Linked DNA regions of Oryzias latipes. The protein of the gene in region 2 interacts with the protein of the main gene of each other region in a pairwise test. Links are inferred from orthologs where the notes say so. Each region holds a gene or a part of one and is shown on either strand. Other genes may lie near its edges.

Evidence for each region.
Region 1: the proteins of jade1 (region 2) and ccdc94 interact in a two-hybrid assay, tested with the Homo sapiens proteins (2 studies listed by BioGRID and IntAct). The two-hybrid records come from large-scale screens. The link is inferred for Oryzias latipes from reciprocal best matches to the Homo sapiens genes JADE1 and YJU2.

What each region holds. Positions count from the first base shown.
Region 1 is NC_019880.2:9,137,513-9,141,701, forward strand, and holds the end of ccdc94 (coiled-coil domain-containing protein 94), read right to left. Parts: intron 2,880-4,189; coding exon 2,735-2,879; intron 2,638-2,734; coding exon 2,503-2,637; intron 2,413-2,502; coding exon 2,231-2,412; intron 2,155-2,230; coding exon 2,007-2,154; intron 1,654-2,006; coding exon 1,482-1,653; intron 1,404-1,481; coding exon 1,315-1,403; 3' UTR 709-1,314; downstream 1-708.
Region 2 is NC_019880.2:21,642,600-21,647,129, reverse strand, and holds the start of jade1 (protein Jade-1), read right to left. Parts: upstream 2,866-4,530; 5' UTR 2,674-2,865; intron 2,661-2,673; exon of another isoform or gene 2,489-2,660; intron 2,483-2,488; exon of another isoform or gene 2,363-2,482; intron 2,281-2,362; exon of another isoform or gene 2,262-2,280; intron 2,228-2,261; exon of another isoform or gene 1,573-2,227; intron 1,403-1,572; 5' UTR 1,362-1,402; coding exon 1,313-1,361; intron 821-1,312; coding exon 756-820; intron 208-755; coding exon 50-207; intron 1-49.

The DNA.
Region 1 (4,189 bases), about 13 Mb from region 2:
CTAAATTAGTCAGCACATACAACAAGTTGCATTAATTCTGCTCTTTTTTACGGTGATATTGCTTTGCTAGACCACAAATACAACTGAAATCAATTTTTTAAGTGTATATTCTTCATTATATTTAAAGTAAACTGTCTTAATCAGGTTGCCGACAAAAACGGCCCTGAAGTGAACGCCAACAACTGCAGTTGAACTCACCCAGTTTCTTTGCATTTATGAATCCCCGTTGCTATTATAAATTTCTGATTAACGCAGCCAAACTTCAGAAAAGAACATAGGTATTATCTTCAAATTAAGTTAACCCACCAACTACCATTTCCCGACGTGTTCTTCCCAACATATCGGTTTATTTCATTTTGGTTTATTGGAAGGTTGCTCCTAAAGATCACTACCGCCACCTTCTGGCCAGGAGGAGATAACACACTATAAGAAACATGCACGGATGTGAGAGCTGCTAAAATTTGTTAATTATCTTTAGCTAATTTAAAACTAATATCTATTTATAAACCTTTTTTGAATTTTCTAATAATACACTTTATTACAACCAAGTTTCATATAAATAACAAATCCAACTTCATTAAACCGTTTGAATTCAACACGAGCTTCAAACAAAACCCAGTAAAAATCACCAAGAATGAAAATATTGACATATGATGTAATAAGATATAATCATATTAGGTCAGTATTAGAAAAAGAAAGACAAAAGGGTGTTTTTACCATTTTTGTATTTGCTTAAGTCACGGAACAATTTACATCATTTTAAATATTCAAATTAAAGAAACTTTTATAACCAAAGTATTATAGAAAGGCTTAAGCAAAAATATGATATAAATTTTTAAAATAAAGTCTCAAAATTGTACTTAAAATACATTAAGATGCTCCGATTCTTAAAAAGATATCTGTCACACCAAAATGTCGAACTCTAAAACATCACAAAAGTAATGTTTATGTTACATAAAGCAGCTCATTTATTCACTTCTATTGGATCTAACAGATTTGGGGTGTCACAACCAAGTTTGAAGAAAAAAAACAAAACAAAAAAACAAATAGGAATAACGTAAGCATTTAAAATATACAGCACTGGGTAGACATAGAAAAAAAACATATTTGAATAACCACTTTTAATAAAAGGATAGGTTTGTTTTCTAAATTTTCAAACAGGAAACTATTTCTTAATTGAATTCTGTGACAACAGATCTGTTCTTAAGTTGCCTCTAGTTAACTTACTTTTATTGGTTGTTTTTTTACTGTCAGTAAAACTGTACATAAAGATCTGTATGTTCTTTTCATTGTTGGTATTTCAGATGGCTTCCTTCATTCTCCATCGCTGCTGTCACTGCCAGAATATGCCCCCAACAGGCTCAGAGATGAAGATCCATTTTGAGTGACATTCGTTTTTGAATCTGAAACCAAAAAGCAGAAATTCCATGACTTTGCCTTTTTAGACCAATCAGCAGAGTAGGATGTCATCAATGTTTTACCTGTGTGTGAGGTGGGAGCAGCGTTTGCCTCATCTGTGGCAGCTTTCTTTATGGAGTCTGCCGGTTTCTTTCGCACCACCAGGGAACTCAGTGACCCTTTGCCTCCCAGAGTCCCGACACTCATCTCCCAGCTTTCGACCTTAACCTTTTTCACTCCTGAAGCTGAGGATCCCTACAGAGTACAGCTCAAATCAGTCTGGAAGAAATAACATCTAAAAGGCTAATCCCGGTCAATAAAAAGCAAGACAAAATTGAAGCATTAACCTACACGTTTTTGTGCAATAGCGGAAAGTGTTTCATTGGTATCAAGTGGAAGGTGAGAAAACAGAAGAAGACAGAGCTGTCCCCATAATCTGCATATATCAATTTGGTTATGAACATGTTCGATCTAATCTACAAATCAACACATTTTAAATAAAATTTAAAAAGATAAATAGAATGCAAGGTTTGGAAAATTCCAGATTTAACCAATCAGAACCCTTTTAATCCAGCAAAAAAAACATGAATTTAAATTATTTGGCAAACCTCAGTTTCAGGTTGTTTGTCAGAGGTGAGGATGTCAGTCGGCTTGTCTGAACTGGACTTCTTCAAACGGCTTCTGCTTTCCTCTTCTTTCTCTGAATCAGAGTCCGAGTCTCTGAGTCTTTTCACGAGAGCCCGCTCCAACATCTCTCTGTAAAAAGACAACTTATTGTTTTTTTCTTTTTACCTGCACACAAAGTAGACCGTGTTCAATGGGACCGGCTCACTTTGTCTCACGCTCGTCCTCTTCTTTCTGCCTTTCCTTTTCTCTCTTTTCAATCTCTCTGTATTTGTCAATCATTCCCTCAAAGTCCACTTGGGCCTGTCTTTGATTCAAGTCTTTCAGCTCCTGCAGGTTCTCCATGACCTCCATCTCCATCTTGGAATCTTTGGTCCGATTCTCCAACACCTGCCAGGCGATCAAACTCACTTTTTTAACGTTCAACATTCTTGGGAATTTTAAGAATATAGAGTGGAATAAAAAACAAAAGCCACAGACCTTCATAGGATTGTTCAGCTCCTCATCGTCCCTCTCCTGTTGGATCCTTTTTTCTTCTTCTTCAATAAGTTTTTCCGCTTGGAAGTTTCGTGTGGCACCGTGCTCCATGGCGTAGTCTGTGTTCTCAGGGTCAGTCTACAATTCCCACACGAGGCATTCCAGAATATATAAAACCTTAAGACTAAAGCAAAGCTTTACATTTTCCCTCAGAAAATTAATCATTTAGGCTCACCTTAAATGTGATTTCAGCAAGACAGCGAGTGCACTTGATGTAGAAACGGAAGATTGGCAGTCCCATGTACAGCTCATTTTGCACAGTCTCTTTACGTGCATTAAACTTCTTACCCTTGTAGATGTATTCACCACATGTCTTGCACCTGCAGACAGACAGACAGACAGAGTGTGTGTGTGTGTGTGTGTGGGGGGGGGGGGGGGGGCATGCAGTTAAGGTCATTGACAAGTTAAGCTCTTGAAACTAAACTTTGTTTAAAAAAATTGGCTTATTGTATAAAAAGCCATGCTGGATCCTGGACAGACAAAACATTAAAAAAAAGGCTACAAATTGATCATACTTGACAAGAGATGTGTCACATTTTACAGCATGAAGCTTTAAACTAAAGAGTGATTCCAACTAAATCAGTGAAATACAGAAAAATGGTTGATGAACCTGGAATAGAAAAAGTCTTATGATTTATGTTTCTGTCCAAGTCTGTCTAATGATTTTATTATTATATTTAAACTTTGATTTATTAGATAGTAAAGCAGTTTCTACAAGTAGCGTTGCTGAAAATTGCATGAACATATTTTGCCCTCCAGGCAGTGACGCTGACTGTTCCAAATATGACTGACTTCTCTCTGGTTGCTTAAATCTACACAACCTGCCTTAATAAGACCACAGTACAACCACAGACTCTGAGACTCACAAACAGCTTCTTTCTATAAAGCATGAAGACTCACTCCAATGAAAAGTTATTTTTTAGTTTTTTTTTTTACATGTTCTTGTGGCCTTTTTCTCATGACGGAGGGCTATATAAAAATTAAGGTTAAAAATGCATTTCTGAGTATTCCTTTTTCCAAATTGCTGTGAATCAGGAACAAAAAAATACTGCTTGAAAATGTCTGTAGCAGTGACGTTAGTGCTACAGTCGGCGAACCACAAGCTCCCTGCCCCGCTCCTTTCCCACGCATCCACTTGCAGACAAATAGATCCATGTACGTCTTTATTTTATTGTCCAAGCTACAATATTAATCATCAATTTTGTTGCACCTGCAATGTTAGGTTGGGGGTTTGAGTGGCTGTCAGCTAGTGGGAAGAGAGCAGAAACAAAGGGATCATGGGAAAGTGTTGGTAGGCTGACACTGTTAACAGTCTCGCCCACAACTCAGAGGGGAAATGTCTTATAAACTACTGTCGCTCTGCAGAAACTATGTCCTAGAAAACGACACAGGTTTTTTGATTTTGACTAAAAATGCCAGCATCGCAATTAAAAGACCACTTTTAATATACATCAAAAGATAAATGGAGTGGGACTTAAAGACTCGTTGTGTATTGACCCTTCAGTCTATCAGGTTATTTTTTTACATTTTTTTTAACTTATTTGGAAAATGAGAACGTTTCCTCTTGTAACATTTTCTCACTGTTTATTTTAATTAAGCATCTCTATCTGGTGGCAATTTCAAAGTATAA
Region 2 (4,530 bases):
GGTTTTCTGAAAACACGGGGACTCGTGGAGACAACGGGGTGCGTGGTACCTGGTGACGGGCTGTGGGATGGACTGCGGACTGACAGGAACCTGGACTCCCTTCTCCCACTCCTGCCTCCACGGGTCGGCGAGCACAAAGTAGTCCTCTGGGTTGAGCGGATGGGAGTCGTGTAATTTCATGGCGGTGATCAGGTCCGTCCTAAAAACCTGCCGCACAAGCGAACGCGCTCAGTTACAGCCCGTCTGCCCCCACTAGCTAAAACACAACACCCGTTCTCACTGTAAACTTTGGAAAAATTGGACAAATATCATAAAAAATGACCTAACAACTATTAGTTGTTCCATATAAATGTTTAACTGAAGGCCAGAAATGTAAAAAACAGGATTTAAAAAATTGCAACAGCAGCAAAAAGCCACCAATAGGAAGGCAGTGATAGATTGTGTGACTTGCAGGAACAAAGTCCACACGCTGTTCAGAAGATAAGAGAAGTTTCCATCCACACATGCTAAGCTCTGGAACTTAGATAGTCAGCCTTTCCTTACACCGTCTGCTCAAAGACACTTGATGTGCTCCAGTTTTTACTTATTAACAAATTCAAAGCAGAAAAAGCTGCTTTGGAGTGAAAAACCACATCCAGATGACCCTCTTTCTTGGCATGGAACCATCCTGGATGAAGGAGAGTCTTCACAGATCACACAATGGCAGCCCACGGCTTGCAAATACACAACGCAGCCGTCAAGAAATGCTGACGTACCTCAGAGGGTTTCTGCCCGCCGCCCCTCCGGTGCTGCGACGAATGAGACCAGCAGGTGGAGCTACCTGAGGGACAAACATGGCAGAGTTTAGTCCTGCTGCTCAGACAAACAACTCACAAAAACAATCAGACCAGAAAGTGGGAAGGAGAGTTTCTTAAACCTCTGAAAGGTTTGGTTTTCTGCTGCAAAATCCCAGAAAATGGAAGCAGAGGAGGCTGCTATCAGTCCCTACCAGTTGTTTCTGTTTGTTTGACTGCGTCCATAAAGATAAGACAGTCCAAACACCATCATTTACTTCTGACAAACAGAAGGTCTTAACCGGTTGACCTCGGTTTTCCTCTATGTGAAACCTGACCACGAATTACAAACTCACTTTGCATTTAAAAAAAAGAAACATTTTCAGGACAAAAAAGTGACAACAGACTATCGTCTAACTCCAAGAAACCTTTCAAACTTGATTTAAATGTCAACTTTGGATATTCTTGTGAGTGAGAGGAAGAGTCGCTGCATCTGGATGGCGTCTAAACATTAAGTCTAAAGGTGACTCAGCACTTACTGCCATTGTCTGAGTCATCACTGGTGCTGAGGTGCCGGCTCCTCTTCATCTTCGTCTATCAACACTTCAGAAAACAGCCAGACAGAGAAACTGTTACAAACAAATGAAATACAACTCATTTCAGTCAGACTAAAATGGTTAGAAACTCCCGACTAACAACACACACCCACACCCACACAAACAAACAACAAGGAATAATGTGGTGGTTGGAGTTCCAGGTCGGTTCCATCAACACAAAACCTCTGCAAAAGTCCCCAAACCTGCAGAATCATGGTGGTAACAGCTGATGCAGCGACACCAGAAGCTGACATCCCAACAGCTCCAGACTTTCTTACAAACAACACCAGTCCCGCTTCAGTGCGCGCAGAGGCAAACGGGCTACACGCATGCAGGAAAGGCCTGCTCCCGTTTCCTAGGTGATGACGCAGCGTCAGGGACGTGTGCGGGCGATGACAACAACTTTCCACAAGATGCGACACAAACAGAGCAGCGACCCGCCGAGTTACGAAACCAGCCGTTACCGGGCTGCCGCGCGCGAGCCCCAGGAACCCGCCCCGGCAGGTTTCGGGGTCGGCTAGCACCGCGAGGTTCTGGACAGTTCGAGTGACGCTCCGTTGGAGAGCCAACAACAGCAGCAGAACGTGATAAATGTAGCAACATGTAGCGTTGTTAGCCCTGCAAACCGTTAAAAACACACAGGGTTATTCTATATATAGAGGATGGTTGTAATTTAACGCACACGTCCTGGCTTTAAAGCAGCTTCTAGCTCGAATTAGCTTCATGCTAATGCCTTAACCGCGGGCCCACCCACTCACCGCGCATTTTAGTTTTAAGGTTATAAACTATCAATAAATGCATAAATTTGTTAAATTGGCTCTGCGTATATTCATAAAAAACCTTTTAGGAAATAGAGCTAAGCCATTGCTTAAAAGAACAAGACTGCTTTGACCTGTTTTTTAGCAGCAGGCTAACGTCAGTGACAGCGATTTGTGTTTAGCATTAGCCACCGATGCTAGCATCGCACACTCTCCTGGTTTAAAACCAACTCACCACGAGCTTTAGGACAAAGGTTAAAGGTCAAAGACCTACTCCACGGCCAGCGTGAATGCATGAGCGACACAAGTTATTAGAAATGACGGAGGCGGCGCGGCATAGCAGCAGGGAGGCATGTTTTACCTGCGCTCCCCTGCCTCAACTTAAGCTTTGGCGCCATTTTAAATGACGATGTCGCGTTCTCCTAGCGGATCGTTGCTGCGACCGTAACACTGCCACGGGTAAAAGTCGCCCAAATACCCCGATAAGAGCACCGAGTTACACCGCGCAGGTAGTAAGTGAGTTCGAGTAAATTCTGGGGTACATACAAAGCGCGCCAGGCCGGTGGAAGTTGGTGGCAGAGTTTGATAAGAAGCGCTGTTTTCTTTTCTTTTTCTTTTTTTCGAGTGAGTTCCGCTTCGCCCGCGTTCCACATACACATAAACACAAGCGGCGAAAGGGGAGGGGACTACGGGGCGCAGCTGCGCCTGCGCACCGCCAGAGGGCGGCAAACCCCCTCCAAACACACCAACGACCAACGGAAAGTAATTTTCCACAGCTTTTGTGGGCAACACGCACGCGCAGCAACGTGACTTTGACTCTTCTGCGGTCAAATTAGGATCAGCTTTGAGAAAATTAAAAATACAGATTGGACATTTGAAAAACAGACATTTCAAATTTGAAATAAAAATAGTTCAAAGCCCCGCCCCTACGTCAAAATAGGCTCAGCAGTGAAAACTTGAAAAGTCTGAATTGAAACAATTTTAAGACCAAAAAAGGAAATAAAACAAAATAATTTAGTTTTTTTTTTTCAAATGCTGAACTTACTTGTTTTATTATTTCTCTATATTTCTTACAATATTTTTTTTTCTGCGAATTTACAATTTTATGTTCTAAGATTTCAACAAACAATGTGGAGAATGTGTACTTTTGAGTTTAAAACAGTTTTGAGGTCATATATACATTTTCTAATTCACTTGATCCTAATTTGTCTCTGATTCATCATCCGACTGTCTCTGAAAAAACGTTTTCTCTGGAGCTTTACATAAACTCTATGAACCATTTGGTCGTTACAACAGCACCCAGAGGAAACACTTACAGCTTTAGCGTCCAAATCAAACGAAGAAAAGGAGACTATAGTGGTCTTAAACACTGCTTAAAGTTCAAACTTATTGTTTTTCTTTAAATTTATACTTAAACTAGAATCTAATCATTACATTTCCAATCATTCTTGACACAAAACTGTTCTTATTCTGTATGTTGGGTATAGGACAATTATCTCTCTGGGACACAACGATTCTTTGAATCTTTATTTAACATGTCATCAAAACCACAAAAACTTTATATTCAGTTCAAGTCAATTCTAAAGGGTAAATATACACCTAAGTTAAGAGTCTCGCCACAAATTAAACACAGAAATCCTACCTTGATTATGATTAAATGAGCCCTAAATGATTCTGGGTTGTTAATTTTGTTCCAAATGATCACATATTCAGTTTTTAATGACCCATATAAGTGACAATAACCTGTTTTGTCACAAGTTTCTGCCAGATTTCAGACTAAATAATTCCCACCTAAAGATGCAGACGTTTGACCTGAATGAGGGTCCCTTCAGAGCTTAAATTGAAACCCACGTTTCCCCCACACGTCTTGACATTCTCCTGCATGTCATACGTTCATTCTGAGACCCGGAGCTTGACGTTACATGATCCTTCCGTTGGCTCGAGTGAACACTGCGAGTGTCGGCGTCCTCAAAGCTGCCGGCGTCACAATATTATTTAACTAAACATCACAAACTTTTTCATACAAATAAGGACTTTTTCATGTGAATGAACAGGAAAGAGGAGGATTTCATCCTAAATAAACCCCAAACCGTCACACAACCGCTGCTGGGGTTTTGATTCCTCAACAGGGAGACTTGCAGGCAGAACAGATTCAGCACAAGTCAGGAGATCGGAAAGAATCTCTCCGGATCTGACGGGAAACGGACTCACAAGAAGAAACGAGTGGAGACCCAGCTCTCCTCTGATTCACCTTTTCAGGCCTTTACATGGATTTTTGTTTTTACACAGAAGAAAACTAGACGATGAATCATTAATGTAATCATTAGGAAATCCAAGAAAATGAATGTCACTTTTTAGCTGTGAGTACATTTAAGGTCCTTTTTGTTCTCTATGATATTGCAA